Regions from separate parts of the Mus musculus genome. Here all the other regions are reported to be linked to region 1. Evidence: microRNA targets listed by miRTarBase, many of them from high-throughput screens and not tested one by one. Region 1 holds a microRNA gene; each other region holds the end of a gene's coding sequence.

Region 1 (10,635 bases):
TTTCCAGTGCCTTCAACCATGACCACCTCACCCAGCCCAAAAGACTTTTCTCTTCTTCCTCTTCTTCTTCCTCTTTCTCCTCCTCTTCCTTCTCCTCCTCTCCCTCCTTCTTCTTTCTTATTTATTCTTTGTGTGTGTGCCATGGCTTGTATTTGAGGTCAGACAATTTTTGGGACTCAGTCCTCTCTACCATGTGAGTCTCTAGGGTTGGGGATTGATTTCAGGTCACCTCACAGCAAATGCCTTGACCTTGGGAGCCATCTTACCAGCCCTGGAAGGGTGTATAAATGTCTCCTTCAGTTAAGGAGGTCCTTTGAAGAGGTGGAGAGGTGGCCCAGCAGTTAAGGCTGAAGCTGCTCTCGCAGAGGCTTGGGGCTCAGTTTCTAGCGCTTTATGGGTGGCTGTAACTCCAGCGCCAAAGGATCCAGTGCCCTCTTCTGGCCTCCAGGGGTACTGCATCACTTGGAATCACACACAAATTAAAATAAATGAATATTTAACAAAAATGTAGGAAGTTCTCTTCGGTAGGTGATGGGAGGGGAGTGGGGGGGTGAGGCAAAGACTGGCTGGGACAGGAATAGTCATGCTGGAAGGTCTGGTCCCCAGGGTGGCCTGCAAGGGAAGGCCACCCTGCCATCATCCAACCCTGGTGTCCTTCAGGCTACAGCTGAGACAGTGTATGACATCCTGTCCCCGGCTTCTCCTGTCTCCCGATCCCTACAAGACAAGCGCTCTTCGCGGAAGCTACGCAGAGGTCAACAACCTGCTGACCTCCGGGAAGGCATGGCTAAGGCTTATGATGCTGTTCGAGAGGTGAGGACCACCCTAGACCCACTTGCAGGTGCCCCCATGCCCACCCCTCATTCTCACTGACCTCTGACCTCCACAGGGTATCCTGGATACAGCTCAAACCATCTGTGATGTGGCATCCAGGGGCCATGAGCAGAAGGGACTGACAGGTGCCGTGGGGGGTGTGATCCGACAGCTCCCCCCAACCGTGGTAAAACCAATAATCGTAGCAACAGAGGCAACATCCAACGTGCTAGGGGGCATGCGTAACCAGATCCTTCCAGATGCGCACAAGGACCATGCTCTCAAGTGGCGATTGGAGGAGGCCCAGGACTGACTGCAGGCACCCAAGATCCACCCACTGTCCCAACATGCTCACCGTGTCCAGCCAGCCACAGTGGTGCCACCAGCTCCCTGTTTTCCTGATTGCTGTGACCCACAGCTAGGCCACCAGGTCCTTCAAAGGATGGCCACTGTGAAGGATACCTGCCCAGCCTGCTTGTTGCCAACTGGCCGAGAGAGTGGGGCCTCCCGGCTTTGGGGCCTCTGCCCTGTCTGTGCACTTTCATCTGGGGAGAAAGGACATTGCTTCTCCCTGCTACCTGGGCCCACACTGCTGCCTTGTTCCAGAATGAGGATGGAGGCTTTTGGACCCATGGACCCCACTCAGCCAAGTGTCTCTCCGTGTCTCACGGGGAGGTGGGGGATAGATGCCATGTGGGTCGGTGTATTTTTAAGATCTCTGAGCGTGTGGGTCAGTGTCTGCATGAAGTGGAATAAACTTGCCCACCGCCAGCCCAGGCCACGTCCAGGTCCTCTGTACCTGTGAGACCCCAGTCTGCCCCACTCTGTCTAAGCCTTGATCTGCCAGTTCCCACTTCTGCACGCAGTACACACCTCCTGCCACCAGGAGGCGCCACACTTCACCCTCAGCCTTCTGATGCAAACAGGCTTTGGGTTCAACCTACTTACCATCCTGGTGCCTGTCATCTTGGCACTACTTCCAAGTGAAGCTGGGGGAAGTTGCCTGGCAGCCCCAGAGGAAGAGTCCCTGAGAGTCCGCATCAAACCCCATTCCTTGGTTCTATTCCTGTCAGACCCCAGGCTCCAGCCTTATTCTTGAGGCTGGAGCGAAGCAGGGCTCCAGGCCTGTCCTGGGAATCTCTGTGACCTAAGGCAACATCTGTTAGTCTGCCAGCCGTGGCAGTGTCCAGGGTGTCCCACTCGGGGAGGTTGAGGCCTATTCCCACCATTTTGAGAGAGTGGCTTTCTTATGCTGGGACAAAGCTGTGTTGTCCAGAAGATGCCTGCTGACCATCCCACGTTCATTGTTCACGGGGAGCCACCCTCGGTAGCACTGCCAGGAAGTGGGTGGGCCTGTGGGAAGGATCACTTGTTGGGCATCCCTGGTTCCCCCTGAAGTTAGCTGTGGTCGCTCCTCCTTTGGCCCCCATCATAGACCTGAGTATTAAGCATGAGAGGACTTCCTTGTGCCCCATCCCCTAGTTTGGCTGTCTGGCTAGCTAGGGCCAACAGACTAGGCATGAGGTCAAGCCAATGAAGCCCATGGGTGGCCAGGGTCTGGTGGCACTGGGTAGCTGAAGACCCAGTCTGGTACTTCCTGGACCCGCCCTGCCAGCTGGGGCACAGTCCAGGTCTGCTGCCCTTCGGACCCCTCTTAGGGTCAGTATTGATGGCAGTGGGCTAATCATTAACGCAACCAGGGCTGGGCCAACGGCTCAAAAGGCTTGGCCCAGGGTGGCCCCACTTCCTCCTTGTGCCCCGAAGGCCAGCTAGGTGCAAGGTAAGAGCTCCCAGGCTGTCCTCCAGAAGGCTGCTGAAGGCTCCCGACTCCAAGCCTTCCTGCCAAGCCATCAGCCCTTCTGAGCAAGTTCTGTCCTGTGGCTCTGTTTCCACCTTTGGGTAAAGTGGCTGGTGCTTCCCTGCTCTATGGAGACAGAATTCTTAAGCAGCCATGTCTGTCTTCTAGATGTCCAGGGCCTCATGGAACAGGAGGCTGGGCCTTGAGGGGGCTACTGGGCTGTGGGGAAACCGGAAACCATCTAGTCTGGCATCTCCCTTGGCAGCTCTGCTGCTTCTCTGGGCCTTTATCTACCACTGCCGAATGGGGCATGATCCAAGCATACTCTAGAGGCTTCCCTTTCTTTCTAGAATCCTGAGTCCCAGCAGGACAAACACGGCCCCATCAGTGAAGCCTCTTGGGCCAGAATCTTGGAAGGGATGAGAGTGCAGATGTATTCCCAGACATGGGTCAGCTCAGGGGTCCCACCTCGAAACTCCTTGTCACAGCAGGGACAGAATGGGTGGAAGGAAAGTGTGCAAGATGGCCCCCAAAGGTAGGGAGTGTAGTGCTGCAGAAAGGTTAAGCTACTTGTCTGAGGTCACACAGCTCCAAGGCCCTTGCTGGCTTAGATTACCGAGCTTCTGAGTTCTAGGTGCTGGCCACCTATGGCCCTGCTCTGGGCACTCACTGAGCTTGCTTGGGTAGCAGCACCCCACTCTCACGTTTTCCTTTTTTTCCTGTGCTGATGCTTAAGCCCAGAGCCCTAAGCCAAGCCTTCTACCCCTGAGAGTCCCTGCCCACCTATCCCCCTCCCCACTTCCCTTCACCTCTCTAGCTTCCCGTCTGTCCTTTTCCTTCTCAGCCTCATTTCCCTCTTTCTCTCATCCCTCCTGTTCCTTCAGTCTTCTCTTGTCTCTAGCTTCCTGGGTAGGGCCACCCTCAGGCAAGATTACAATCCAGTTGCCTCTTGCTGTCCCTCTGTCCCATGGTTGCAGCCAGGAGGGTGGGCCTGAACGTAGGCCTCAGCTCTGTTTAGAAGGGAAGGAGGAAACCAGAAGGGAACTTGGAGCCGAGGGTGTGGGTGTCCGTGGGCTGCAGTAGAGTTGTAAATCAGAGCCGCTCCCAGTCTGATGAGGCGGCTCTGGGCTTGAGCCTGGACTTCGCTCAGGGAGGTTGGCGTCCTATGGGGTGCCAGGTGTGGGCCTTGGATGAATGATAAGAAGCCTCAATAAAAAGTGTGGACTTGGAGCCGAGAGGCCTGCGGGCATGAGTGGGCAGCTGTGGGGCTCTTCCCAGGATCCTGCAGAGAGGAGGTCCCTGCACCTGTGCTGACCCCCCGTGGCTCCCACCCTCTGTAACAGCAACTCCATGTGGAAGTGCCCACTGGTTCCAGTGGGGCTGCTGTTATCTGGGGTGGCGGCTAGTACCAGCAGAGGAAGAGGAGCCACAGCCACCCAGCATGCCAGGAGGAACCTACACAGCAGTCTTCAGGCATGGGAAGGCAACGAATGGTGGGTTGTCAGCAGGCTGCCAAGATGGCGTGCACAGGGCTCTGACCTATGAATTGACAGCCAGTACTCTTTTCTCTCCTCTGGCTGCCAATTCCATAGGTCACAGGTATGTTCACCTCAATGCCAGCCATAACGACTCGAAGGAGCAGGGTGGGAGTCAGGGTGGGGGAGGGTATCAAAGTCAAGGTCCCTCCTCCTTCCTCACACTCCCTCCTTCCTGTTTCCAGTTGTGAAACCTTGCCTGACTGCCCTTCAGGACACCTGTGTGTTCCCTTCCCAGCTTCTTTGCCAGGTTCTTCTTTGATTGCTGGCGGGAACTTGCTGTGTGGTCCAGGCTAGCCTTGAACCTGTCTCTGCCTGCATAGCGCATAGGTCTTCGGGCTTTGACCGTTGTGCATGGCACCAAGAGCACTCTTCATCTCCTCCCAGGCTCAGCCCAAGCTCGTCCCTGAAGTGCCATGGGTGGCACTCATCGGCCTGGTTCCAAACCAAACAGCAGTGTCTGTGTCTGTTTCAGAGACTTCATGTAGCCCAGGCTGGCCTCACACTGTGTAGTGTAGGGTGATGCCTCCTAAATGCTAAGATTGTGAGCATGTCCCGTGCCTGCCTATTCACGGTACTGGGCATGCTAGGCAGGAACACACTCCCAGCCTGCGATTCTTCTTGGGCTTTGTTTTTGTTTTTGTTTGGAGACAGGGTCTCACTATGTAGATCTAGCCATCCTGGAACTCACTGTGTAGACCAGGCCAGCCTCGAACTCCACCTGCCTCTGCTTCCCAGGCACTGGGAAGGTGTGCACCACCAAGCCTAGGGCTTTTCTTAAAAGTGATTGATTCCAAGTGCCACCAGGGCTCCCAGGGCCTCTGGCTTGCTCCCAGGCGCGCCCCCTAACCACTGCCCACTGAGTCCCATGCTGGGCACAGTTAATCTGTGCTGTGTGTCCATATGCTTACCACCCATGAGCTCGGCCCCAAGCCCTCAAGCCCATAGATGCACCAATTACGTTTTGCAAACATTCTGCGATTCCATCTCGCACTGCCAATGGCAGGGGACTTTAGGGCCCAGGCTGGGCCCACTCCAAATGCTCCTTTCTCTTGCAAGTCTCACTTTTGAGGTCCAGCCAAGGCTAATGGAGAACCATCTGAGAGGGCAGGACCGACCACACATGCAGTAATCCCAACCTGTGTCACACCACTCCTACCCTTTTTTTTTTTTTTAAGATTTATTTATTTATTATATGTAAGTACACTGTAGCTATCTTCAGACACTCCAGAAGAGGGCGCCAGATCTTGTTATGGATGGTTGTGAGCCACAGTGTGGTTGCTGGGAGTTGAACTCAGGACCTTAGGAATAGCAGTCAGTGCTCTTAACCACTGAGCCATCTCTCCAGCCCCCACTCCTACCCTTTTTATTTCACTGTTTTTGAGACAGGGTCTCAGTATGTAGACCAGACTGGCCAGGAATTCACTGTGTAGAGCTTGGAGATCCACCTGCCTTCTCCTCCTGAGCTAGGATTACAGGCTTTCTAGTGTACCTGTAAGTCCTTTTCTTAACAGTGGGGCTTGGGGAAATGTCTTTTTGAAAAACTGGTTCCTGCTACTAAAAATGTTTTCTTTTTAAATATTTTCTTGGTGGTCTTGTATAGCCCAGTGAAGCGTCAACTTTATTCTCTGTTTTATGTTGTTTGTTGGTGTGTTTTGAGACAGGATTTCTCTGTGTAGCCTTGGCTGTCCTAGAACTGCTCTGCAGCCTTTAATTCACAGAAATCCACCTGCCTCTGCCTCCTGAGTGCTGGTATTAAAGGTGTACACCAAGTGTCATTTTGTCTTTTTTAAAAAGATATGTGGGGCCAGCAAGATGGCTTGGCAGAAAAAGACACTGTCAAATCTAAAGACTGAATTCAATCCCTGGTACACACACAGTGGGAAGAGACTCTCCCACAGTTTATCCTCTGACTTCCACACACATGCTGCACACAAAGAGTAAATAAATATAGATAAATATATTAATTAATTAAAAAGATTTGTGGGTGTGCATGCAGTCATGTATGCAGGCACCCACAGAAGCCAGAAGGTAAGGTTAGATACCCTCAGGTGGTGTCACAGATGGTCCTGAGACCCTTGGCACAGGTGCCTCCTTGTGAAGAGCAGCATGTTCTCTTACATACTATCTTTCCAGTCCCCCTTTTCTGTATATTTTTGAGACATGGTCTCTCTCACTCTATCACCCAGGCTGGCTTGGAACTTGAAGCCACCCTTTTGCCTTTGGCCAAAGTCACACAGGACCTTCTCTAAAAACCTGTGCAAAAACATGGGTGACTAAGGTCCCAGCTTTATCTCAGGTTCCATTCCTGAGTGTCTTTGGTTCCACTACGTCAGCTCTCTCCACCCCTGGGTTCCTATCCACCACAGCTAAGATGCAGATGAGGGAATCCTGAATCCTCAGAATGCTTCTCCCACCTCCCTTGTCTGACTGTGCATCTTATCCTTGCCTGCTCTCATCTTCTGGAGAACAAAGCCCTCAGCTTACTTGTTTTGCAAAGCTGGTTCCACACCTACCGGTGTGGTAGGTCCTGGAGATGCCCTGGCTGAACAGATGGACGCTGTAGTCTGACACTCTTGGGCCCAGACCTTACTCCATCCCAGGCGCTAGCTTAGGATGGAAGGGGATGGCAGGCTGCCCCTGGCCAGGGTTTCCTCCATCTGTCTCCACCAAGCTCATAAAAGCCTTTAATGGTTCAGGGAAATGTCTCAACTCAGAGCACCCCCGGCTCTCTCTGGCCCAGTGTCTTGACCCCTGTTGACTTGTGGTCTTTCTGCAGCAGACCCTAGACCTATGAACATCGTTCCTTGCTGGCTCCCTCCCAGTCTCCACTCAGATACCTCACTGCCTCCAGGATACGTGCCTGTGTCCCTGGAAACTTGCTTGAGTCACTTGTTCCATCCAATTCCCTGGTGTAAGGTGGCCTGTTAGTGACCCTGTCACACCTCATCACTAGTGTCTATTTCCTTTACAACCTGTGGACCCCTGGGAGGGACGGTCACTGGCTGTGTTCCCTGTAGCCTCCAAGACTAACACAGGAAGTCCTTAATGTTTATTGGAGGACCTGCCACTTGTGTGAATAGATTCCTGAGAGGGACATTATGAGGAGGGTTGGCATAGTGCCTGGGGACAGAAGATCCTGAGGTGCCGTCGGCTGTCTTCCCTACCATCGTCAGCATGGCACACACGTGGAACTGCTATGCTAGCCAAGCACCCAGGAACCTCCTGACTCACAATCCCACAGCAAAGAACTGGCCAGTAGAGAAAGGAGTCTGAGCTGGATGAACATGACCAAGAAGGATCCCTGAGAGATAAATTTGAGTTCAGCTTTTACTGCAGCGAAGGGTGGCAGTTGGCCAGGAGCACATACATACAGAAAGGGGAGAAAGCCACCCGACCCTGAGGAGGTACCTTGGCCTTAGGCAAGCCTCACTCCCTAGGATCGCCACCAGGGGGCACCCATGATACCTCTTGTTTCATGCCTCAAGACGACCCACCCCACGTCCTTCTGCTGTTTCCTAAGCCAAGCACAGCATCTCCCCAGGGTCTCTCCTGGCGCCTCTGAGCTATACCCAGCCACAATTTTGTCATCCACTGAGTGGGTTTGAAAATGGGTCCTCGTGTAATAGCCACATACTGGGTCGCCACTGTTAATATACAGGGAGTGGTGTGGTTGGGGCTGGCCAAGTTCCCCTGAAGTTTCTGGAACCCTAGTTTATTCTTTCACTACTGGACAGTATTCCAGTATGAATGAAGATATAATTGTTTTCACACCTTCCGTATACATGGACTTAGCACCTGTTCTCCTTAGGGCTAGAAGCAATGGGAAGCCAGTCTCCAATGTTGAGGGGAGGGGTTCTTAGGTTCAGGCCACTTTGTTTTTCTTTTTGAAAATTGTGAAACCTTCGGAAATGTTGCAAGAACAGAACAATCAACAACCATGGACCCTTTATTTGGATTCGTGGACAGCTGGCATTCTAGGGTAACATCTGCTTCCCCTCTCCCTCACGCACACTTTTCCCGAACTACTAGAGACCAGCATACAGGTCATGACCCTTCACCATGAAAATTTTCAACATGTATCTCCTAAGAAAATATGATACCCTTACACAACCACAAAGTTGCCAAATGTAGGTCCGCCCCACTGATGCAACCCTGTTCTCAATTCACAAGTCTAGTTCTCAATTCACAGTCGGCTTCTAGAAGTCACTGAGTGCCCCGGCCAGCTTGCAGCAGTAGGGGTTGAACTTGAGGCCTTCTGCATACCAGATGGCCACTCAGCTACACAGCTACCCACTCTTTATCTTTTACTTACTTTTAATTTTCTAAAAAAATATTTTATATAAGCCGGGCGTGGTGGCGCACTCCTTTAATCCCAGCACTCGGGAGGCAGAGGCAGGCAGATTTCTGAGTTCGAGGCCAGCCTGGTCTACAAAGTGAGTGCCAGGACAGCCAGGGCTACACAGAGAAACCCTGTCTCGAAAAACCAAAACAAACAAACAAACAAACAAAAACAAACAAACAAAAAATATTTTATATGTATGGGTTTTGTGTGCATGTATGTTGTCTGCATACCCTGGGTACCAGGAAGCCAGAGAGGGTGTCACATACCCTGGAAAATGGAGTTATAGATGGTTCTGACTTGCCATGTGGGTGCTGGCGACAGAACTCAGCTCCTCTGCAAGAGTAAAAAATGTTCTTTACCTCTGAGCTGTCTCTTCAGCCCTTTAGTTTTTATTCACTGGTTACTATTACTGTGAGAGTGTGTGTGAGTGTGTGTGGGGGGGGGGAGGCGGGGTTGTGTGTGTGCCAGCTGTTAGAGGACAGCTTTTTGTTTGTTTGTTTGTTTGTTTGTTTTTTCAAGATAAGGTTTCTCTGTATAGCCCTGGCTGTCCTGGAACTCACTCTGTAAATCAGGCTGGCCTCAAACTCAGAAATCCACCAGTTTTTGCCCCCCAAGTTCTGGGATTAAAGGCGTGCGCCACCACTGCCCTGCTAGAGGACAGCTTTTAAGAGTCAATCCTCTCCTTCTACCAATGGATCTGGGCTTGAACATAAGTCCTCAGGTTTGCACAGCAAGTGCCTTTCCCCACTGAGCCAGCCTTACTTTCGGTTTGAGACAGGCTGCCCAGGCTGGCTGACCTTGAATTTGTGGCCTTTTTGCGTCAGTCTCCCAGGTAGCTGGGCTCCTAGGCCTGAGTCACTGGCACACAGTGTCTCTTTTTCCTGCTTTGAATTTCTGACTTCCTTCTCTGTCCAGCTAGAGAAATCTGTGGAAGTTCACAGACGCCACTCTCGGCCACTCCTGTTTGTAACCCCAGTATCCTGGGAGCCCAGGCAGAGAAATTCAAGGCAAGCTTGGGCTACCTTGCAGAACTGAATGGAAAGACTTCAAAACCAGTTGGGTGTGGTGCTGCATACTTGTAATTCCACAGTTCAGGAGGCAGAGGCAGGACCATCACTGTGGACTCTGGGCCAGTGAAGCTACGGAGTAAGCTCCTCTTTCACAAATTAAAAAATAGAGCCAGATGTGGTGGCACGTGCCTTCTTTAGTCTGAGAACTTAGGAGACAGAGGCAGGCTGATCTGTGAGTTCAAGACCAGCCTGGTCTTCTTAGTGTTTTAGGCCAGCCAGGGGTACCTAGTAAGATGCTGTCAGAAAATAAAATCAATCCACTGTATAAACAAAAGAGCTAATGTGGCCCAGCAGCCTGAAGAGACAATGGCCTTATGGAAAGAAAGGTGTGGCTTCTAACAGTCAGGGAGAATCCACAGTGTGTTCAGTCCTAGGTGGGCTGTGTACCCCAAGGCTCAGGGATCGTGGAAACACTTGGCAATGCTAACCCACCGGCCTCAAGGACCAAAAGGGCAAGAAAGTGATTCTGGGGCTGGTTGTAGATAGAGGAGTCAGGACTCAGAAGAAATAAGCAGACCTCAGCCCGACTTTGTCTCTAGGCAGGGTCCCTCTGCGCCCGTCTTTGGGATGTCCCAACACGTCCTAGGAGTGAGCCAAGAGATGGACACACGTGGCCTTGGTGGAAGGTTGCAGTGTCCTCTCTCTCAGATGTCACCACTGCCTGTACTTCAGAGCAGGATAAAGACGATCCTGTCAGAGGAAGGTTCTGTTAGGACCACAGCAAGGACTGTCATGAGCCACCTCACATCTCCGGCAGGGAAGAGTCTCTGAAGGAATGAGGGGAGGGAGTGTTAAGTCCATGGAGAGGCAGCACGGTAGCTTACACAGCCTAGCCTCTGGGGGCGAGGGGCGGGTGTGAGAGCCCGGGCCGCACTTGCTGCAGGGGGTCCAGGCTCTGGGGCGGGTGTGAGAGCCACAGGGCAGGGCCCCCCCGCACTTGCTGCAGGGGGTCCAGGCTCTGCGTCACATGGCTGGAAACACAGCTTCTCTCTATTCCTCACGAGGAAGCTCAGTGTAGCCCTGACTTTGGAAGGGATGGGACAGAAAATCCATGATCACGGAGACCCAGCCGAG
Region 2 (10,635 bases), not on the chromosome of region 1:
ATTTCTGCTCTAGCTTTGCCCGCAGCATGCGCTGGGGCCTGGCCTGGTCACGGAGTAAACCTTGACCCAAATTATGGCCAGATCCAAATAAGATACGAACTAACTCAGACTTGTGCAAAACGCATTTTCTGACTCAGCGGGAGTCAAGGTTCTGATTTAGCATAAGGATGTCCACAGGGGCTGAGGAGGAAGTTCAGTAACTGTGTGCTGTGAGCATAAGGATTAGATCAGTCAAACCAACCTTGTTGGTTTTTAAGGGGCTGGGAGTGAGGGCAGGACTTCTCCGGTGGGTAGGATTTGCCCAGAACATAGGGGGTGGGGGTTTGCCCTCCAGGTGTGGTCGTGAAGACCCTATGGTGCCTGGTGCAGAGGGCCAGACAGAACCGTGGTTGGCGTTAACGCCAGCACACCACACCCATGCCTTCAATCCCAGCAATTGGGAAGCAGAGGCTGTCAGATCTGTGAGTTCATGGCCAGCCTGATCTACAGAACAAGTTCCAAGACAAAAAGAAGGGCTACACAGAGAAATCAAGTCTCGAAGAACCAAAAAACAGCCAACCAACCAACCAACAACAACAGGTCTGAGGGGAGATTCTGGCTCTAACATTTTTTTTTTTTTTTTTGTTTTTTGTTTTTTTTTGAGACAGGGTTTCTCTGTGTAGCCCTGGCTGTCCTGGAACTCACTCTGTAGACCAGGCTGGCCTCGAACTCAGAAATCCGCCTGCCTCTGCCTCCCGAGTGCTGGGATTAAAGGCGTGCGCCACCACGCCCGGCTGGCTCTAACATTTTTGGCATCCTATGAGTAGCAGTAGTTGGAACCTACCTCTGGAACCAGTCTACACAAGGTTACAATCCTAGCACCAGAAAGGCTGAAGCAGGAGATGGATGGTGCGTTTGAAGGCTGCTGAGGTTGCTCTTTTTGTTCGAGAAAGGGACTCACCATATAGCATTTGCTGACTTCAAACTCAGCTACCCATTCACCTCCCTCTGCCTCCCAAGTGCTGGCTGGGATAAAGTGTGTGGCACAACACCCAGGCAGAGGGCTACTTTCACTGTTAAAACTTCTAAAAAAAAAAAAAAAAAAAAAAAAAGGGGCTGGTGAGATGGCTCAGTGGGTAAGAGCACCCGACTGCTCTTCCGAAGGTCCAGAGTTCAAATCCCAGCAACCACATGGTGGCTCACAACCATCTGTAACAAGATCTGACGCCCTCTTCTGGAGTGTCTGAAGACAGCTACAGTGTACTTACATATAATAAATAAATTAAAAAAAAAAAAAAAAAAAAAGAAAAAAAAAAAAAAACAAAAAACTTCTTAGGATTTTTTTTTTTTTTTTTTTTGGTTTGGTTTTTTTCGAGACAGGGTTTCTCTGTATCGCCCTGGCTGTCCTGAAACTCACTTTGTAGACCAGGCTGGCCTCGAACTCAGAAATCCGCCTGCCTCTGCCTCCCAAGTGCTGGGATTAAAGGCGTGCGCCACCACCGCCCAGCAGGACTTTTTTTATGTGCCTATAGGAATGTTTTGTTCACATGTGTGTGTGCACCATGTGGATGCCTTGTATCTTTGGAGGTCAGAAGATATTGAGTGCATGTAGGTGCTAGGAGTCAAAGCCAAGTCCTTTGCAGGAGCAGTGTTTTAAATCTCTGACCCTCTAGCAACAAGAAAAAGAACCACAGCTTATGAAAACTATGAATCACACCCATAAATCTCTCCCTCTGAGTTGCCGGTGCTACAGTTCAGAGGTCAAAGATATTCCCGAAGGCTGGTGAGATGGCTCAGCGGGTAAGAGTGGCTGACTGCTCTTCTGAAAGTCCTGAGTTCAAATCCCAGCAACCACATGGTGGCTCACAACCATCCATAACAAGATCTGACCCCCTCTTCTGTTGCTACAGTATACTTATAAAATCTTTGGGCCAGAGAGAGCAGGGCTGACCAGAGTGAGCAGAGGTCCTAAAAATTCAATTCTCAACAACCACATGAAGGCTCACAACCATCTGTACAACTACAGTGTACTCATATACAATAAATAAATAAATCTTTAAAAATGAAAAAGTTATTTCAAGAGGGGCTCAGTGGTGTATGTCTGTAATTCCACCATTCACAAGGATTTTTTTTTTCCTTTTCTGAAACCCAGTTTCTCTGTGTAGCTCTGGCTGTTCTGGAATGGCTCTGTAGACCAAGTTGGCCTAGAATTCAGTGATCTGTTCACCTCTGCCTCCCAAGATTAAAGATGGGCGCCACCACCACTGTCCAACTTTATCAGATGGACCTCTTTTTTTTTTTTTTTTTCCAAGACAGGGTTTCTCTGTGTAGCCCTGGCTGTCCTGGAACTCACTTTGTAGACCAGGCTGGCCTTGAACTCAGAAATCCGCCTGCCTCTGCTGGGATTAAAGGTGTGCACCACCATGCCCGGCCAGATGGACCTCTTGAGTGAGCCTGTCTCCCACCCCCACCTCACAAAAAAACCCTCACTCAACAGGAAGTACTACTGCTACTCCCAGAAGCTAAACCAATAATCTGATTCAGAGCTCTCTTTTGGTCATCTCAAACAGGAAAAAAAGAGCCAGGATCGATGGCACATGTCCTCAATCCCATCATGAGGGAGAGGCAGGCAGGTAGAGCTCAAGGATAGCCTAGTATAGAGTCCCAGGTAGCCAATGAATGCTACACAAACCCAACTCGAAAGAAAAGTTGTCTGCACATGTGATTATAGCCCCCAACCCCAACTCCCAGGGTAGTGACTGTAGTTTCCAAGTGGCTAAAAGATTCTGTATGTGCACGCTTTACCTTCCTCCGTGGCACTGAGGGCAAATGTTGGGTTCTATACATTGTAGACAAACCCTTCACCACAAATGAAAGCCCCCAGCCCTCTATAGAATACTGCTTCAGAACCACCTATACCAGAAAGCTGAATGAGTAAGTCCCTCACATGGAAGGAAAGGAGCTGGGAGCAGAAGCCATCATTAAGGCATCTGAGCAGTTGAACGGTCTGATGCAAGCACCTATGCTCAAATTCTCAGGCAGACTGCAAGCCTAGCATCCAGTATGTGGCTCCACACCCAAGATGCCTTTTAAGACTGGCCAGCCTGAAGGCGCCTAAGGTTCCATACAGGGTACATTTTCCTATTGTACCCAACTGGTGCAGCTATTCTAGGCCTCTGGTAAAATCAGTACAGATGTAGCTTGAGCTGTGAAACATCCTATAATTCCTTATATCACGTAACTGCAACCCATTAGACCTGATAAAAATTAGAGATGGGGATGGTAGAGCATGCCTTCAATCCCAACACTCAAGAAAGCAGATCTCTGGATACCTGGCCAGCATGGTCTACATAGCAAATTCCTAGAACAGTCAGGATATAGACACCTCAAAAGATATGCAAACAAACACAAGACCACCCATCCCCAATTAAATGTGGGTGTGTGCTCAGGAAATGGCTCAGTGGTTACAAGCATCTGTATACCAGAGTCTGAGTGTTTGGATCCTACCACCCATTAGGTGGTTCACAAATACTGTCCTGCTCCAGTGGCCCCGCCAAGGGAATATCCGCTTACAGGGCATATGCTCAGACATTTTACACAAACTCAACACCAACACACATACACAAAGTAACTTTTTAAAAGACTTTATATTTACAGGTGAGTACACTGTTGCTGTTCAGACACACCCAAAAGAGGGCATCAGGTCCCATTACAGATGTACTCACAGGGCTGTGGTGTTATCGAAAACCTTTTTTCCAAGCTGGGCAGTGGTGGCGCACGCCTTTAATCCCAGCACTTGGGAAGCAGAGGTAGGCAGATTTCTGTGAATTTGAGGCCAGCCTGGTCTAGAGTTCCAGGACATCCAGGTCTCAAAAAACCAAAGATACCAAAGCTTAAACTTGTGCTTTTTTGTAGCTCTGGCAGTCCTGGAACTCTGTAGGCCAGGCTCCCACAAAACAAAGCAGAGCTTTGTGCAGCTCTAGATGTCCTTGAACGCAGAGCCTCCAGTGTCTGCCCCAGTCATGTCAACCCAACCACAGGCTATGCTCTACAGGGAATGTCAACCACAGGCTATGCTCTACAGGGAACGCTGCTTTGGAACTGGGATGGGAAGCAGCTCACTAGCAGCTGCAGAAAGTCACCCTCTCAACATGCCTGTTACTAGACCACCGATTAAAAGCATGCACAACCCCATCCAGCTAAATTTTTTATTTTAAAACAATGAAACCTTAACTTCCCACACCCAGTCTGAGAGCTCAGTAGCTAAGCAATGTGGCCTGTTATGCTAGCCCTTCCCTGTCTCATATACCCCTTCATGACAACCCAGGTTTGGCTTACTTCAACCTGATTTTCTTTTTTTCGAGACAGGGTTCTCTGTGTAGTTCTCTGGAACTCACTCTGTAGACCAGGCTGGCCTCAAACTGACAAATCCGCCTGCCTCTGCCTCCCAAGCGATGGGAATAAAGGCGTGCACCACTACCGCATGGCTTCACCTGATTCTTATGTGAGATAGTAACAATAGCAGGGGAACTAGAATCTCTAGGCCCAAGGACTTTTAACTCCCTCTCCCGTCCTTCCAGAAAACTGTTCTTGCAGACATACAAGCAAGCAAAATACTCATACAAATAATCACACAGAGCACACATAAGGAAGACCGCAGTGCAGTGGGTGATGGGAAGCTCATATTCCCCAAAACCCACACACATACAAAAACAAAAGGGAGTGTAGAGACATAGCTCAGTGATACAATGCTATTTCTATTTTGTCACACACACACATATACTCTCTCTCCTGGGGTCAGTATTCATTTAGGTCAGCACCCTCCCCCAACCACATGCAGAGTCAAATGGTTATGAATCTGGTGTCCACAACCAACCTTCTGCACACCATTTGGGCCCTGATTACTGCCAAGCCAGTATCACTTGAACCCCAGCCATGACTGCATCTTCTAAGTCACTACAAAACAAGGAGAATGACCCCAGTCCAAAAAAAATCTTTATGTTCCTTTATTGGAGCAAGATTCCTGACGTATACAGTGATGTATTTACTAAACAGAGTCCTGTGCAGAAATTACACACTATCCATCTAGACAGATTTTGGTTACACTTTGCCTATTGATGGAGTAGTTCCATTTATAAAGTTTTATACATCAGAAAGCTTTGAATTTGACCAGGCTGTCCATTAATCATCTCTGAAAAAGTGGCATTGAATTTTAGCTCTATTTTACAGCATTAAAAAGCTTACGCATCAGGTAGCTTCCCAAACATTATCCTCTGCCCGATGGCGCTGAGCAGACAGCTCTTCATCCACCTACGTCAGTCTCACATCTGAGAGCTTCTGCTACATACCTGTGACAGACACTACCAACCACCTCACTGACTGCTGACCCTGACAGTTCACACTGCCAATGAGGACACGTCAGCGGCTGTCCCTCATAGATGGCACAGAGCAACGGGTCAGTAACGGTGGGAGCAGGTAGGTGCTGCCGTGAGGTCCGGGTAAAGGCCCATTTTAAAAAGAAAATGCCAAATTGAGATAAAAATCAAGGGTATAAGTCCACAGCAGCAAGCTGTGCCCACAACTCAGTACGGAGACGTTAAGACATGATTCAAATCCCTTTCTCAATCTGCACAGCCCTGAGGTCATCCTGCAAAGTGCGTATCAAAAAATACGAAGTTGGGGAGACAAAGTTTGACGTGATGTCATTATGCAGTCAAACTTGGAAGGTCTGTTGAGCATCTGTTGACAGAAAAGCATCAGGTCCTTTGTGTACACACTGATTTTATTGTAACAAAGCAACTTGTACACTTCAACATTTAAAATGAGCATCTTTTTCCTTCCAGTGAAAACCAAAAAAAAAAAAAAAAAAAAGAAAAAGAAAAAGAAAAAAATTAAAATTACAACAGAATGTCAACTCCAAATAAAACCATACAGGTTCTGCTGATTCTCCCATTGAGTGTCAGGGCTCAAGTCATCATCAGGAGAGAATTTTATTTTAAGTGTCACCTTAAATTGCAAGGATGTCTGTTAAACCACACAATTAAACATGCCAAAGGAGAAGCCATGTTGTCAGATGCCCACCTACCCCAGACACCTCAAACCCACCCTTGCTCACCGTCTATACCCCCCCTTTTTTTCTTTTTTTTTTTCTTTTTATTAAACAAGAGAAAGTAGACAGATACATGTTGGTAAATGCTAACTGTCTGTATTCACATAGAGACACAGTGTAATCTCTGAGCCCAATATACAGAGAAAAGAAGAAAAGCTAAAATTCTATAAACTACTACACAGGGGCCTAGCGCCCTCCAGCAGAGCCAAGGGAACTGGAGGGCTTTTCTTTTTTCCCACAGAGCATGGTGGTGTGGAATCCACAAATTTAGACAAGAAAGGATAAAAAATGAATTAAGAACAGAAACGGAGATTCTTTTCCTGTTGTATTTTGCTCAAGATACTTCCCCCCAAATTAATTGAGAACCATGATGTTGAGACCTCAAAACAGGGCGACTGAGCACAGAGGGACAGGGAGGAAAGGACTGCAACTTGCTCCCAGGGACTGGAGAAAATTAAAAAATAAAAAGAAAATAAAAAAGAAGGTTGGAATCCATCAGTCTTCTGTGCTAATCATCCTCGCCTTCGTCCTCCTGAAAGAACAAGGAGCAGTCAGCCTCCAGCGCACGCACCCTGCCCTTCACCAGCTCTCCCAGCCTAAACTGGAATCTTCATTAACTTAGCACTGATGTGGAGGGACCCACAGCGGCTCACAATCTCAAACCAATGGGATCCTACACCTTCTGAATCATGCAGTGCAGACACATACATAATCACCCATACATATATAATTACATTTAAAAAAGAGGGAAGACTCAGATGTTAACACTCCACTCCCACAACTGTCCCACTATTCCAGCCAGTTCCCTATCACACATTATATTTTATAAATACTGGGGCTTGGGTGTACCTCTCCTTCCTTACCTCTCCTTCCTCCCCTTCATCCTCATCGTCATCTTCTTCACCTTCATCCTCATCTCCTTCTTCATCAATATCTTCCAGCCCCTCCTCCTCTTCGTCGTCGTCATCATCATCTTCTGCCTCTCCTTCTTCATCATCCATGTCGGGAACCTGAGAGCAGCAGGCAATGTTCTTTTAGGGACTCATTCATTCTATTGGACACATTACCTCTTTCAAGCCACTGACGCTTACTCACCAGGTAGTACTGCAAGGGATTTGGCCAGATGTCATCTTTGATGACCTCTCCTAACTCATCAGCACCTGCGTCAGAATGGTCAGTAAACCAGGTAAAGAAGCTCTCTGGCTCTTCGTGCTGCCTCTTCCTGCTGGCCTTATTTTGCGTTTGACTTGAGCGTTTTGTCAAATCCTAAATGAAGACAAACATTCCCTTTATTAGCTCCCCATAATACCCAAACCCCACATAAAGTACAACAAAGACCAGTGAAGAAGTTCATATTACTAAGAACTATAAAATGTCCATTTGGTAAAGTCTTGTAAATTGCTTTCATAGGATACACCTATCAACTGTCTGACTTCATAAAATGACTTCCACTAGGCGCCTTTAATCCCAGCACTCGGGAGGCAGAGGCAGGCGGATTTCTGAGTTGGAGGTCAGCCTGGTCTACAAAGTGAGCTCCAGGACAGCCAGGGCTACACAGAGAAACCCTGTCTTGAAAAAAAACAAAAAATAAATAAAATAAAAAATAAAAAAATTAAATGACTTCCACCCTAAATCTCCAATTCAAACCTATGTCTCCAAAAATGGAGCCGGAAAGCCTGAGCAGATACTGTAGACGATGCAGCACAAAGACAAATGCAGTGTGGGGTTCCTATCCCGATTCCTCTGTTCATTGGAATCTCTGCATAGTTACCCAGCATCTAAGGCACTGTGTGCAAACCAGCCATGATATACAAAATACCTTTCCAGATTTCCATTTGATTTCGGTGGACTTTGAAGACGGGTCACCACTCTCGTTCAGATGAAATTCTTTGGAGAGAACTTTATTTTCAAAGTAAGGATTTTCATCAAAATACTGTAAAATATGGAATGATGAGCAGTCAATGATCAGCTTTCATACCATTACATACTCACTGTGCTAAGCAGGAGGTTAGGTACTTACAAAATCTATTCTGTAACCTGATTTAATGTCTTCAAATTCTGTCACTTCAACTCTGGTCAAATAATGCAGAGCCTCCTCGTCCTCCTCCCCAAGCAGTGCAGACACTAGAGAAGCAACTCAGTTCAGTTCAAGTGGGAATGAGACTACTTAATGACCCTTTTAAATGTTCAAAAACTCAGCGAACACCCTTCCACTTTGCTCTTTCTACTAAAACCACCAACTGCAAACAGACTATTCTTGTCCCAACTGCAGCTTTGTGAGGTAACTGTCCCCAGAGCTCCCCAAGCTCCAGGTCCTAGCAGACCAGCAGTGCTGACCCACCACATACCTTGTGGATGGTTGACAAATGTTGTTACCCAAAAATTTGGGATTTTGGCGATCAATTCTGACCTCTTCTGAAAAAATGGTTGGCGGAGTTTGTTATATTTTTGTTCTACTTTCAAAATTTCCTCACTGGCTTGTTCATTAAGTCTGAAACAAATAAAGACTAGAATCAAAACCTAAGGCGGTAAGATGGAAAGGCTAAATACCCAACTGACACATGCTGGTAACACTGTTGCTTTTTCTCTCCCTGCTTAGGAACAGAGTATCTGCTACCCTGCAGCCCAGTCCTCTGACAACCAAAACCACTGAGCTAACTCAGCTCATCTCCAGTCTGGCAACATTGTATTTCTGTATACTGTATTTCCAAATAGTTATTGTGTCCCCAGTAGCAGAAAGTGTAAGTGAAGGTTAATCAAGAAACAAAACAAGCAAATGCCTTTAATCCCAGCACTTGGGAGGCAGAGGCAGGTGGATTTCTGAGTTTGAGGCCAGCCTGGTCTACAGAGTGAGTTCCAGGACAGCCAGGGCTATAGAGAAACCCTGTCTCTGAAAAACCAAAAAAACCCAGGTAGCAGCAGCCAGACTCTAATTCTGCACCTCTGAAAGAGCACCCTACCTACAGTACCCCCGCACCTGGGAAGGCTGAGGAAAGATTACATTAACCCGGGAGTTATAACCAGACTGAAACACGAGTGTGCTCACCAAAACCTTCCTGTAGTTACCTGATGCCAAATCAGTTCCACAAGAGAACTTTCCATAACATGAATTAATATATTTTACCTGTCTATTTCATTTTGTACTTCATCAATATGTTCAATTGCTTCTTGCTGTTCTTTTTCTGCAAAACAAGAAAGGGGACATAAGACTCAACACTAATTACAAGCTCCTCTTCCTGATCCCAGGATGGGAACTGCAACAGTGAAGCTCACCACAAAGCATGCTCCCCACGTGTTCGAGCACGCAGTTGAGAATTACTTTCTCATTACCCTACCATTCACAAATTAAGGCATCTACTCCGCTACTCGGAAAAATGCTTCACTCCTGGATTACTTTTCAAAGAGTTTCGTTCGTTACAAAGGTGCAATCATTGGCCTTCATTATTAAAGGTGAATGAGAGGCTTCACCTCATTCAAGAATTTTTCATGTTTATTACTAATATTATACAATTGTAAGAGAAAGGGTGCCAGTGCCAGCTGCCACTTAGTGTGGAAACTAGTCCATGGCCATAAAACAAATTAGGATACTATCAACTGTTATAACTGCTTTAAAAAAATTTAAAGTGCTCTCAATTTGTTATGATTATCAATATACACCGACAAAGACCAGTTAGTCACCAAACTTCCCGGAGTCGTCTTCTCAGACTTAGAATGTAAACCTGACCTTACTCCTTCAACCCATTCTTGATGAGATTGGTCATCATATACGGCCGTGCAGTATTTCAGGACACTTCGTGGGAAAACCCTACTCAAAAACTTGGAGCCATAAAAAGGAGAGGGGGTGTGCTCCTATTTCGTGCCCTTTTGTCCGAGGGTTGTGAAGGCTTTTACAAAGCCAAGTGGGCGTGAAGGGGCCCGATCGCGCGTCTCATTTCCGGTAACCAGCCCGGGCTCTGCAGCTGTCCTGGGCTCGAAACGACCCTCCAGGCGAGGGCTAGGCGTCCTAAAGGCCCCTGAAGCCCCTGCATCATACGGCCTCGGGGCCAGATTCCTCGCACCCCCGGCGCGCCCGAGTGTGGCTGCCCCACGTGGGGTGCGCAACCCGCGCAGCCTGGAGCATCCTCCCGCCGGCTCCGCGCCCCTACCCCGCCCCAAACCCCGGTTCCCGGTTCCGCGGTAGCGCCGGCTCAGGGCGGGAAGCAGGGCGGCACTAGAGGCCCGGCCGCAAGGCTGCGTCCGGCCGCACCATGTGGCGGCGGTGGCGGCTGATGGGAGCGAGGCATCATGGCGGAGCACAATAAAGAGAGGCTTCTCGGGAGGGAGGGAGGGGGAGGAGAGCGCGGGCGGGGGGAAGGGGGGGTCTCCGCCCGCCGCGCAGGCCGCAGCGCCCCCGCCTCGGCCGCACCGCTCACCGCCACGGCGCCACCCCGGCCCCCCGGTCCCGGGCCGCACACAAAAAAGGCGCCGGCTCTCCGGCCCCCGCGCGCCCCCCGCAGCCCCGCGGTCCGGGCCGAAAGATGGCGGCGCGGCCGGGCCCCCGCCGCGCC
Region 3 (10,635 bases), not on the chromosome of region 1:
TTAACTTACTCATTAATTTTTATTTTATTATTGGATTTCCTGGATTGGCTCTTTGGGAATAAAATATGTGTTTAAATCCCTATAACATTGTTCTACTTTAAGTATAGATAATATTGTTAAGTAACCTTTTAAGTGGTAGAAAAAACCCTATGCACAAGTATGTAATTTCTTTCAAGTATTTTCTTATTCTTTCTGCTTGAAATAGTATTAGAATTTTACAATTACAAAGGATCCTAAATTAATACCCTGCCTTCTGTTTGTTAACTAGTCTTATTAAAACACTTTCTTCTTTTTTTTTTTTTTTTTTCCCGAGACAGGGTTTCTCTATATAGCCCTGGCTGTCCTGGAACTCACTTTGTAGACCAGGCTGGCCTCAAACTCAGAAATCCACCTGCCTCTGCCTCCCGAGTGCTGGTTAAGGCATGCACCACCACGCCCGGCATTAAAACACTTTCTAATAAATTTTTTTCATTGATCTTTTCCTTTCTCCTCTTGAAACAAATTCCTTATCCTCCCCTGTTCCCTGCCACCCAAATTTATAGCACCCTTTCTAAAGAAAAAAACGCAATAAAAAAAGTACAGGCAAAGTCCATTTGTGTTGGCCTCACTACGGGGTCTGTCCTGTTGTGTGGTTGTTACACCCACTGTCTTAGTTACTTTTCTACTGCTGTGATGAAACACCATGACCAAGTCTGAAGTTAACTAAGTCCAAGATGGTGGGTTCACATTTAAGTTTCTTTTCTTAGATCACTTGAAGTGGGAAGTGCCACTTGTAATATGGGCCATACCTTCTTCTGGTATAAAGGAAAGACACTTGCTCCCTTTTCGCTTGTTAGCTCTTGCTCTCCCCTGCAAATTATTTCTTCACTAGTATTAGAGCTTCCTTCTTTGGGATTATAGCATATACTGAAGACTAGCTGAGACATGCATGCTTGTGGACTCAACAACTACTGGATTTTTGGACCTGTTCTTGGCAGATAGTCATTGTTGGACTAGCTGGACCACAATCTAAACCATGTTAAGAAATCCTCTGTGTGTGTGTGTGTGTGTGTTATAATAATATGTATATATTCATTCTATATGTTCTGTTTCTCTAGAGAACCCTAACTAATACAAGAGTAAAGGAGGGTTTTTTGCTTACATATTGTGAATCACAATCACAGTCTGTGGAGGGAAGCCAAGGCAGGACTCAGCAGGAACTGGAAGCAGAAGCAGATATAAAGGCCATGAAAGAGTGCTACTTACTAGCTTGCTCCTCTGGGCTACCTTATAGAACCCAGGACCACCAGTGTAGGGGTGGCACCACCCACGTCAACCACTAATTAAAAAATGCCCTACAGGCTTACATATAGCCTGATCTTATGAAGGCATTTCCATCATCTCAGGTGACTCTGCCTTGTGTCAAGTTCACATAAAACTAGCCAGTACACATACCCAGTAACAGTATTGGAGAAAACTGATTTTCCTTTGCCAGCAGTATCAGTTTATCTTTTTAGTTAAGGGTTGTCCACTTTCCCTTCTTAGCAGTGAGATTTTGTGTGGTTTGAACTTGTGCAGTTCTGTGTGTACTTTCAGTCTCTTTGAGTTCATGTTTATCAGTCCTGTTGTGTCTATATGAAAGATGTTGTTTCCGTAGAGTTATCCATCACCTCTCGCTATTAAAAACTTTCTGCCTTCTCTTCCATGTAGATCTCTGAGCTTTGAGGGTTTTGATAAAGACAACCCACTCAAGGATGTGTACTCAAGTCTCATTCTCTGCACATCGTTTAGTTGTGAGTGTCTCTGTTAGTTCCCAGCTATTACAAGTAGAGACTTCTCTGATGATGGTTGAGGGATACTCTGATCTATGGGTATTGCAGTATATTTTCAGGAGTCATTTTATTGTTAAGATCCTTTAACAGAATAATAGTAGTAGGTTTTCCCTAGGCTCATGACTTACTATTCTCAGATTCTTGGCCACTTTGGCAGTATAGAGTGAGGTTTTACAGGCCTGTGGAGTCACAAAGACCAGGAGACAGTCTAGAAAGAAAGTCTACAAAGGGATAAAATGAAATCTTGAGAGTTCTACTTCTGGTTCTGTACATACACCATACTGCTTCTTTTTTATTGTAAACCTTGCCGTGTCTCTTAAATTTAAGAAATCAAAACTTGTATTGGGGCTGGAGAGATGGCTCAGTGGTTAAAAAGCACCAACTGCTCTTCTGAAGGTCCTGAGTTCAAATCTCAGCAACCACATGGTGGCTCACAACCATCTGTAAGAGATCTGACACCCTCTTCTGGTGCATCTGAAGACAGCTACAGTGTACTTAGATATAATAATAAATAAACCTTTTATTAAAAAAAAAACTTGTATTGTTAAGGAAACCTGACATTATTCACAATATTTCTTTTTTGGTTTTTCGAGATAGGGTTTCTCTGTATAGCCATGGCTGTCCTGGAACTCACTCTGTAGACCAGGCTGGCCTTGAACTCAGAAATCTGCCTGCCTCTGCCTCCCAAGTGCTGGGATTAAAGGTGTGAGCCACCACGCCCACCTGCTCTTTTTCTTTTAATTTTCTATTTGGTACTCAAGCAGTTTTAGAGGTAGGGATATAGCTTAGTTCTTGTAGTGATTGCTTACCATTTATGGGGCCTTGAGTTTGAATACCAGCACTGACTGCATAAATTGGGTGTGGTGGTACACTCTGGAGGTAGAGATAGAAGAATCAGAAGTTTATGTTTCTACAGTAGGCTAGAACTCAGGTAGGAGAGTGTCATCCTCTTTCCTGTCTTCTTTTGCAATCTCTTCAGACTTAACATTAGTCCTGCTGCATCCTGCCTGGACCCCTCCTCCCCAAGCCTATCTCCACTCCTTTGCTACTCACATCTTAGTGAAAATCCAGGATCCTCCTAGTTTAGTTCCCTCTGGTAGCCCCTTTCAGCCTCTCCTTGTAGCCTGCCTCCATTCCTTTGTAACTTACTCCAGACCTGTAGCTCTGTACCAGGAAGCCACAGCCAGCTGCCACACTTGGCCTTCTGGCAATATTTGAGGACAACCTTCATTTCTTTTTCTTTTTACATTTATTGTTTGTTTGCTTATATGCTAGTTTGGCTATCAGGTCAGGGAACAACTTGGATTCTGTGAATCAAACTCTGTTCATCAAACTTCATGACAGGCACTTTTACCTGTCACATGTGTGGCAGTCAGAATGTACCTTTTGTGAGTCTCCTGCCATGGGTTCCAAGTATTAAACTCAGATGTTAGACATATATACTGCTGAGCTATCTTGCCGTCCCCTTTTTAAGAATATGCCATTCTGCTACAATAAGCAAAAAACTTATCATTACAATGTAGTTAATGGAATACTTAGAAAAGTACAAGCAAAAAACTCTTTTGGTTTTTCGAGACAGGGTTTCTCTGTGTAGCCCTGGCTGTCCTAGAACTCACTCTGTAGACCAGGCTGGCCTGGAACTCAGAAATCCACCTGCCTCTGCCTCCCAAGTGCTGGGATTAAAGGCATGCGCCACCACTGCCCAGCCTGCAAAAAACTTATAAGAAGCAAGTGTCAGGAAAAATTACATGTACATAAATTTTGTGAAGTAGTTGAAACTCAGTAATCATAAATTAGAGATGTTTCTTTGCTGTCATTTAGAAACTTGTTGGAAGCTACTACAGTTAAATAGTCATATTAAGATGAAAGCTGACATTTGTGTTCAAGTTTAACTCGTTCACATAAGCTCAAAGGAATAGCTTCTTTCTATAACCGAAAAAAAAAATTATATGACCAGGATAAATACTGGAGAAACATCTATTTAAGCTAGCGCTAAATAAGAATGAGGGCAGGGAAGTGCTATTAGTAGAAGACTTGCTTGTAATGTAACAAATTTGCTGATGCTACACACACAATCGACTTTGTACTAATAAAATTAAAAATACATTTTTATCCAGGAAATCAGGACTTTCTTGTTAGCTTATTTTTAAGATTGTAATGTGTGTTTGTGTATGTGCTGTGTTTGCCATTTGTGCCTTTGTTCAGATGCCTATGGATGTCCTGGAGCTGGTATTATAGGCAATAATGAGCCACCCAGTTTGGGTGCTGGGCAGTCCACTGGAGGAGCAGGAAGCTCTTTTAACCACTGACCCACCTTTTCAGTCCCTACGAAGACTTTTAAAAGAGAATTTAAGATGGATAATCCTGTACAAATCCTGCAAGTGTCCAGTATTTTTTAACTTATACACTAATGTATAAAACAGGACAACTAGCCAGGCAATGGTGGTGCACACCTTTAGTCCCAGCACTTGGGAGGCAGAGGCAGGTGGATTTCTGTTTGAGGCCAGCCTGGTCTACCCAGGACAGCCAGGGCTACACAGAGAAACACTGTCTGGGGGGGGTGGGGGGGGGAGGTGGGGGGGGGATATGACAACTCATTGTGATATCTTAAGTATTTTAGTATTTACTAGTTTTATTTTAGATCTTACTCGTTTTCTCATACCAAATTACATGTTCTTTTTTTCCCTTTTCTTAATTTGTGCTCTTTCCCTTTTTCACTAGGAAACTGACTGGACATTCTTTCCACATGGGCTACAGCATGGCAATTTTGAATGGTATTGTCGCTGCTCTCACTGTGGCATGGTGCCTCATGTAAACCTACACTAGAGCAACGTTGTTGGTGAAAGTCATGATGGTTTTTGAAGTAGCAGAAACGAAATTGCTGACTCAGAAGACTTTGAAATGTGATCAGATACTTACTATCATCATTATGGAAGACCTTATAGAGGGCACTTCTTCAATGTATAAGATGTTTACTTCATCTTTTTACTTTTGTTTATGTAGTTTATCAGTTACAGAAAATATTTGAATTGAAATCAAACTTGGAAACTTGAATACATGACATTGCCTACCTTTCTATGTATATTCCATTTTTTACTAACAGATACTGATATTTGTGGTTGAGGTAGAAATATTTATATACTATATTAGGAAAACAGTACTGAGGCCAAGTGTGTTAGCAAGACCTTCAAGCCCAGCATTTTGGAGACAGAAGCAGGTTCTGTGGGTTTGAGGCTAGCCTGTAGCTGCACAATGAGATCATTTCATAAAAAAGAAAACAATTCCTATTCTTTGACATTTTGTAGAAGCTACATAAATCAGAGTTTTTGATAATCAGTAGAATGCATATGTGCATTTATATTTTTGTGGAGTGTACCTGGGTGTCTTATAGATTTTTATAATACTGCATTTGTGTTTTAAATGATTACATTTATACCTATATGGCTGTAAATTTTATTTCTTAGCTGGTGTAGACCTGTCCTTTAGTATTTTGTCTCTTCAAAAAGAATTAAAGTACATTGACTTGAGTTTAAGATTAAGTAAATATATTTTTTAACAAAAACATACTACAAATTCAGGGTAAACTATTTGTTGTTATAATGTTAAGAAATTTGAGACTTTTAGCCATTTCTATTTTCTACAATTGAAAGTATTTATTTTGATGTATATATTAGGGTAGCAAACTTGTACTATTTCATTTTTAGTAAATGAAAACCTAAAAATTTTGTATGTAGAAATGTTTGAACTTGTTTATTTTTAATCTCGAGTATTTAGTTGCCAAAGTAGAAAAGGTATTTTGATACTCTGTATGTGTACATATAATTTAACTGTAATATGTATGTTGTAATATATTATAGATACTGTACTTGTCATATCAAGGGTTCTTGTTGTTATTAATTAAGCTTTAAATGTTTCTCTGTCTTGCTTGCTATTTAAGTATGTAGAAAGTCACCTCAATCTTAGAAAGTTGTGTGGTTTACACAGCTGTTTGTCCTGGCTGTAGGAAAATTTAGATTAGGAAAACATTGTGTAGTCAGTGTGTATTCTAGCTAAGTGGCAAGTGAGTGTGTGTGTGTGTGTGTGTGTGTGTGTGTTACATCTGCAGTCCTACTGTTGTTACTACACAAGGGTTCTAAAAGTCTCAACATTTTCTCTATATTCTCCAAAAAAGGTCATTTCCATTTAATTGGAAATGGCTAATAATGTTCCAATTAAAGTGAGTGATGAAGAGGGACATAGATAGATAGATTCTTACTAAATGCCAGTCTCATGACTTAATAGCCCTACTAATTATGCTTTTTAAAATGATTGTTCTTGTTGTTTATTGGATTTTTCATACAATATATTTTGACTTTATTCTTTTTACACGATTCCCTACCCCCAACTCTTTCTATATCATCTCCTTTCCCTCCACCTCCCACCCATCCAACTTCATGTTCTATCTTTCAGGGGGAAAAAGAAATCTGTGTATTTGAATTAGTGTTTTTTTTTTAATTCTCAGGCATCTTACATTCTTTCTTCTACCTTTCCCTTAAAGGACTCTTTATTACAAAGATATGTTCAAATTATAAAATTATTTTATCTCCTCTCTACCTGTGTAAAGCCCCATTCCCATTATCACCCCAATTAAAATGGCTCCTTCCACTTCTTTGTGTGTAATGGCAAGGTTAAAGTTATTATAGTCGATTTTTCAGACACAAGGTAGCCACCTCACTTATAATGTAGATACACAGGACATATAATACACTATTTCTCTAGAACACTATGTCTTATGAACTAGCAGTCTCCTTTGGAATATATCCCTTCATTCTCCACACCTACTGTTAGGTTTCAGTATAAACCATGTATGAGGAAAGTGATGGCCTGAGGTTACTTTTCTTAGACCAAACTCTTTCCTGTTCAGTGACTGCAGTAAAAATAGAGGGGTGTGATTCAAATCAGCCAGTTTCTAGGATTTTTTTTTTTTCAGGTTGATTCTAAGTTCTTAAAACTGGGAGACAGGATCCCATGAAATGCTGGCAACCATGTGAACCAAGCATAGTACAAAAGGATAAAGGTGAGATGAATACTGCTAATGATATTCTCCTGACTCTTGAAAACCTATTGACCACCTGCCATGCTTGAAACTTGGTTACAGTGTTTTGATATATTTGTTTCTGCTGTTTATATAGGCTTTTGTCACTTGCACCACAGAGTCAAGATGGTGTCACCTAACAGAATCATCCAGCTCAATTAGATGTCCCTGTGAGTGTACCTATGTCACTGTGACTGTACCTGTGATTGGTCTCAAAGACTTCAAAGGAGATATTAGTGTCAAGCCAGCTACTGATTTTACTACTTCATCAGGAATTTTGTTCCCAAATTGAGTTAGACATCCTTTAAATGCTACCACAGTTTTGTATTATCAGAAGTTAGTCTCTACTTATATAAGTATTGAATCAGTATTGAATCTAATATTTAGTATATTAGTTTCCCAGTTTTTCTACCTGCTAAATGGAAAAAAATACTAAGCTAAGACATTTCAAACTGAAAACGGTGCAATAATGTCTGTAAGACCTGGTTAAGACACATAATAGAATTTGTAATTTCAAATATATTTATTAAGACATGAGCTGAAACTAATGGAACTAAGAATAAATAGCAGGACTGGGCAAAACTTTCAAGTAAACCTTTATATACATAAAAACCAGAAAGATTGAGAATGCAAGCATGTTATGAATAAGTATAGTATGGAATTTTATGTCTGTATATATATGTGTGTGTGTGTGTTACATGTATATGTATCTGTATATATATACACACATACACACACTATCAAATACTAAAAATGGATTCTTTGAAAAATAGAACCCTGGTTAATTATATTTAAAGTTTCAGTGTATTTTTACATTTCTGTTAACTTTCTTGACATGTTAGTTAGAATCCTATATCTCAAGTAAAACCATCTGACCATGGAAAATAAGACTTAATTGGCATATCTAGTTGCCCAGGACCCAAGAAGATATTCGAAGCTAAAGCATAAAAAACCACAACTAACTAGTCAAGTGCAATGTACTCACTAACCCGTGGATACAAGCCTGATAGCCTCAGGTAGTAGACAACATAAACTGAGCTTATCTCCCTGGAAAGGGAAGCAAAGGCCTTTAAAAGCATTTTTCAAGGTTTGTTGTTTTTGTTTTGTTGTTTTGTTCTCAGCTTACCCAGTCTGCTGGATACTAAGCCTTCAGTTTAAATGCTGTTTCTCTTGGAAGTTTTGGAACACCCTGGTTTCTCCAGAGCTTAAGATGATTGCCACAACAGTGCTTCAGTCAATTTCTTTTAGATGTTCCAAGCTTTGGCTTAATATTTACACCCCACACCCTTCCCCAATTTATAGGTAAATTGATAAAATGACATCACATTTTATACTTCTACTTTGGTTTGCCAATATTCTTAAAACTTTATTCAACACCAAGTGTAGCTATCTTAGATCATCTTACTGTACAGAACTTTCTTGAGCTTCTTGGTCTTTATTTTCTCTTCTGAATTAATTCAAACAAGTTATGTAAGTGTAGAGTTTATTACAGAGCAATAAGAGGTGAGAGCAGACAGTGGACAAAGGAAACATTGCAAAGGAAAAACAGAATGGCAAGGGGATCATGCTGACTTAATGTTGAGGTCTATTGTCTGGAGTACAGTTTTTCTTAAGGATGTCAAAAGCTAGAGAGATCATATTTGTAACTTAATGACAACTGAAAATGCTAGAAAAACAAAAATACCCCAAAAAGAGTAGATGGCAAGAAATAAGTTTAGGGCTCAAATTGAAATAGAGCAACAAAAACATTACAAAATATCAACAAATGTAAGAATTGTTTGAGATATGGGTGTGAAATTTCTCAATATGGTACATCAAATTCTAGAACACAGCAAAAGATTCTTATGATTACTGTGTTGAACACAACAAAAGCTAGCACTTGGAGTTCCTAGAAGAAAAGAGCAATGGCCCATGTAGAGAGATTTATATGGACTTTCTGGGATTTATGGAGAAAAGAAAGCAATTTTATTTTATAGGTTCACATATTTAAAGGAAGAGTGGTGTTACTGGGATTGTCAGGCCTTATTTAGAGCTTTAGAGGTGATGGTAGATCAAAGCCACCTCCTGAAAATATGCTTCCCTCCAAAATACACTTAAAGGCACTTTCCTTCTGGCCACCAGATTGGCTTGCAGTATTCGTAGGGACATACAAATGCCAAGGGGAGGATTGAGTTACAGATTGCTCTGAATTTAGGTTTGACCTTGATAAAAACAGGCTGTCTGTATGCAACACAGTCAAGTTGGCTTCATCCCACAGATGCAGGGGTGGTTCAACATACATAAATCAATAAGCCACCACATAAACAGCCTGAATGACAAAGAACACAAGGTGATTTTTTTATTGGTTATTTTATTTATTTACATTTCAAATGTCCCCCTTCCCAGTTTCCCCTCTCCAAACCCCATATACCCTCTCACCTGCCTCTGAGGGTACTACTCCACCCACCCATCCACTTTCACCTCACCTCCCTAGCATTCCCCTACACTGGGGCATCAAGCCTCCACAGGACCGAGGGCCTCCCCTCCTATTGATTCCAGATAAGGCCTTCCTCTGCTACATATGCAGCTGGAGCAATGTGTACTCTTTGGTTGGTGGTTTAGTCCCTGGGAGCTCTGGGGGATTTTGTTGGTTGATATTGTTCTTCCAAAGGTGGTGTAACCCCTTCAGCTCCTTCAGTCCTTCTCCTAAGTCGTCCATTGGGGTCCCGGTGCTCAGTCTGATGGTTGACTGTGAGCACCTGCCATCTGTATTGGCAGAGCCTCTCAGGACAGCTATACCAGGCTCCTGTCAGCAAGTGCTTCTTGGCATTCGTCTGGGTTTGGTATCCACATTTGGAATGGATCCACAGGTGGGGCAGTCTCTGGATGACCTTTCAGTCTCTGCTCCACTCGTCCCTGCATTTCCTTATGATAGGAGCAATTCTGGATTAATATTTTTGAGATGGGTGGGTGGCTCCATCCCTCAACTGGGGGTCACGCCTAACCACTGGATATGATCTCTACAAGTTCTATCTCTCCTTTATTGGGTATTTTGGCTAAACACACGGTGATCTTAAGTGCAGAAAATGCTTTTAACAACATCCAATATCTCTTTGTTATAAAAGTCCTGGAGAAACTAGAGATAAAAGGGACATTCCTCAACATAATACAGGTAATTTACAGCAATCCCACCACCTACATTAATCTCAACGCATTACCACTAAAATCTGGAACAAGACAAGGATGTCCACTCTCTCCATATCTGTTCAATAGCTAGAACAATATGAACTGCTGGAGATCGAGAGAATACAAGGAGAGGAAGAACTTAAAGTATACTTGTGGATAATATGATTTGTATACATAAAATACTATAAAATTTGCATGAGGGAACTTTTATAACTCATATTTGATCAAAGAATAATCTAAAAATATACAAAAATTAGTAGCCTTCCTATATATCAATGATATGCTAAGAAGCAAAGAAACTATCTTCAACATAGCCTCAAAGGAAATTATATAAATTATCTTGAAGTATCTCTAGACAAACAAATAAAAGTAAAGTTAATTTTAAGGCATAGAAGAAATAAACTGAAGATGACACCAGAAGATAGATCTCCAGGTTCAAGCAAGGATCAGTGAGATTAGTATTGTGAAAATGGCCATCCCACCAAAGGCAATCTACATACTCAGTGCATTCCCTATCAAAGTTTCAACACAAAGTTTGAAGAAAGCGATCTTCAACTTCATATGTAAATGAGCAAACAAAATCAA

What was found. The annotated mature microRNA mmu-miR-194-5p reads UGUAACAGCAACUCCAUGUGGA and lies in region 1 at 3,947-3,968, shown strand. An mRNA with a match to its seed (bases 2 to 7 or 8) in the 3' UTR can be bound and repressed. Matches are read on the target gene's strand: a 7mer-m8 pairs with bases 2 to 8, a 7mer-A1 pairs with bases 2 to 7 and ends in A, and an 8mer does both.
Region 2: the mRNA of Set is a reported target of mmu-miR-194-5p. Seed matches in the 3' UTR shown: 7mer-A1 at 5,766-5,772.
Region 3: the mRNA of Arl6ip6 is a reported target of mmu-miR-194-5p. Seed matches in the 3' UTR shown: 7mer-A1 at 5,903-5,909.

The regions. Positions count from the first base shown.
Region 1 is chr19:6,260,712-6,271,346 of GRCm38, forward strand. Mir194-2 (microRNA 194-2) reads left to right here and starts at 3,932; the gene lies at 3,932-4,017. Mir192 (microRNA 192) reads left to right here and starts at 4,133; the gene lies at 4,133-4,221. Atg2a (autophagy related 2A) reads left to right here. Exons shown (of 40, transcript NM_194348.3): 39 at 661-813; 40 at 890-1,593. The coding sequence ends at 1,126. It overlaps Gm14963 (predicted gene 14963), which reads right to left. Exons shown (of 2, transcript NR_168273.1): 2 at 8,083-10,328.
Region 2 is chr2:30,066,904-30,077,538 of GRCm38, reverse strand. Set (SET nuclear oncogene) reads right to left here. Exons shown (of 8, transcript NM_001204875.1): 2 at 9,213-9,270; 3 at 8,437-8,579; 4 at 8,109-8,212; 5 at 7,908-8,021; 6 at 7,184-7,354; 7 at 6,952-7,098; 8 at 4,962-6,620. The coding sequence ends at 6,597. Among named protein-coding and RNA genes, the nearest start is that of Set, 5.7 kb to the right of the region's middle.
Region 3 is chr2:53,212,763-53,223,397 of GRCm38, forward strand. It overlaps Arl6ip6 (ADP-ribosylation factor-like 6 interacting protein 6), which reads left to right. Exons shown (of 4, transcript NM_022989.4): 4 at 4,533-6,459. The coding sequence ends at 4,626. Among named protein-coding and RNA genes, the nearest start is that of Arl6ip6, 26 kb to the left of the region's middle.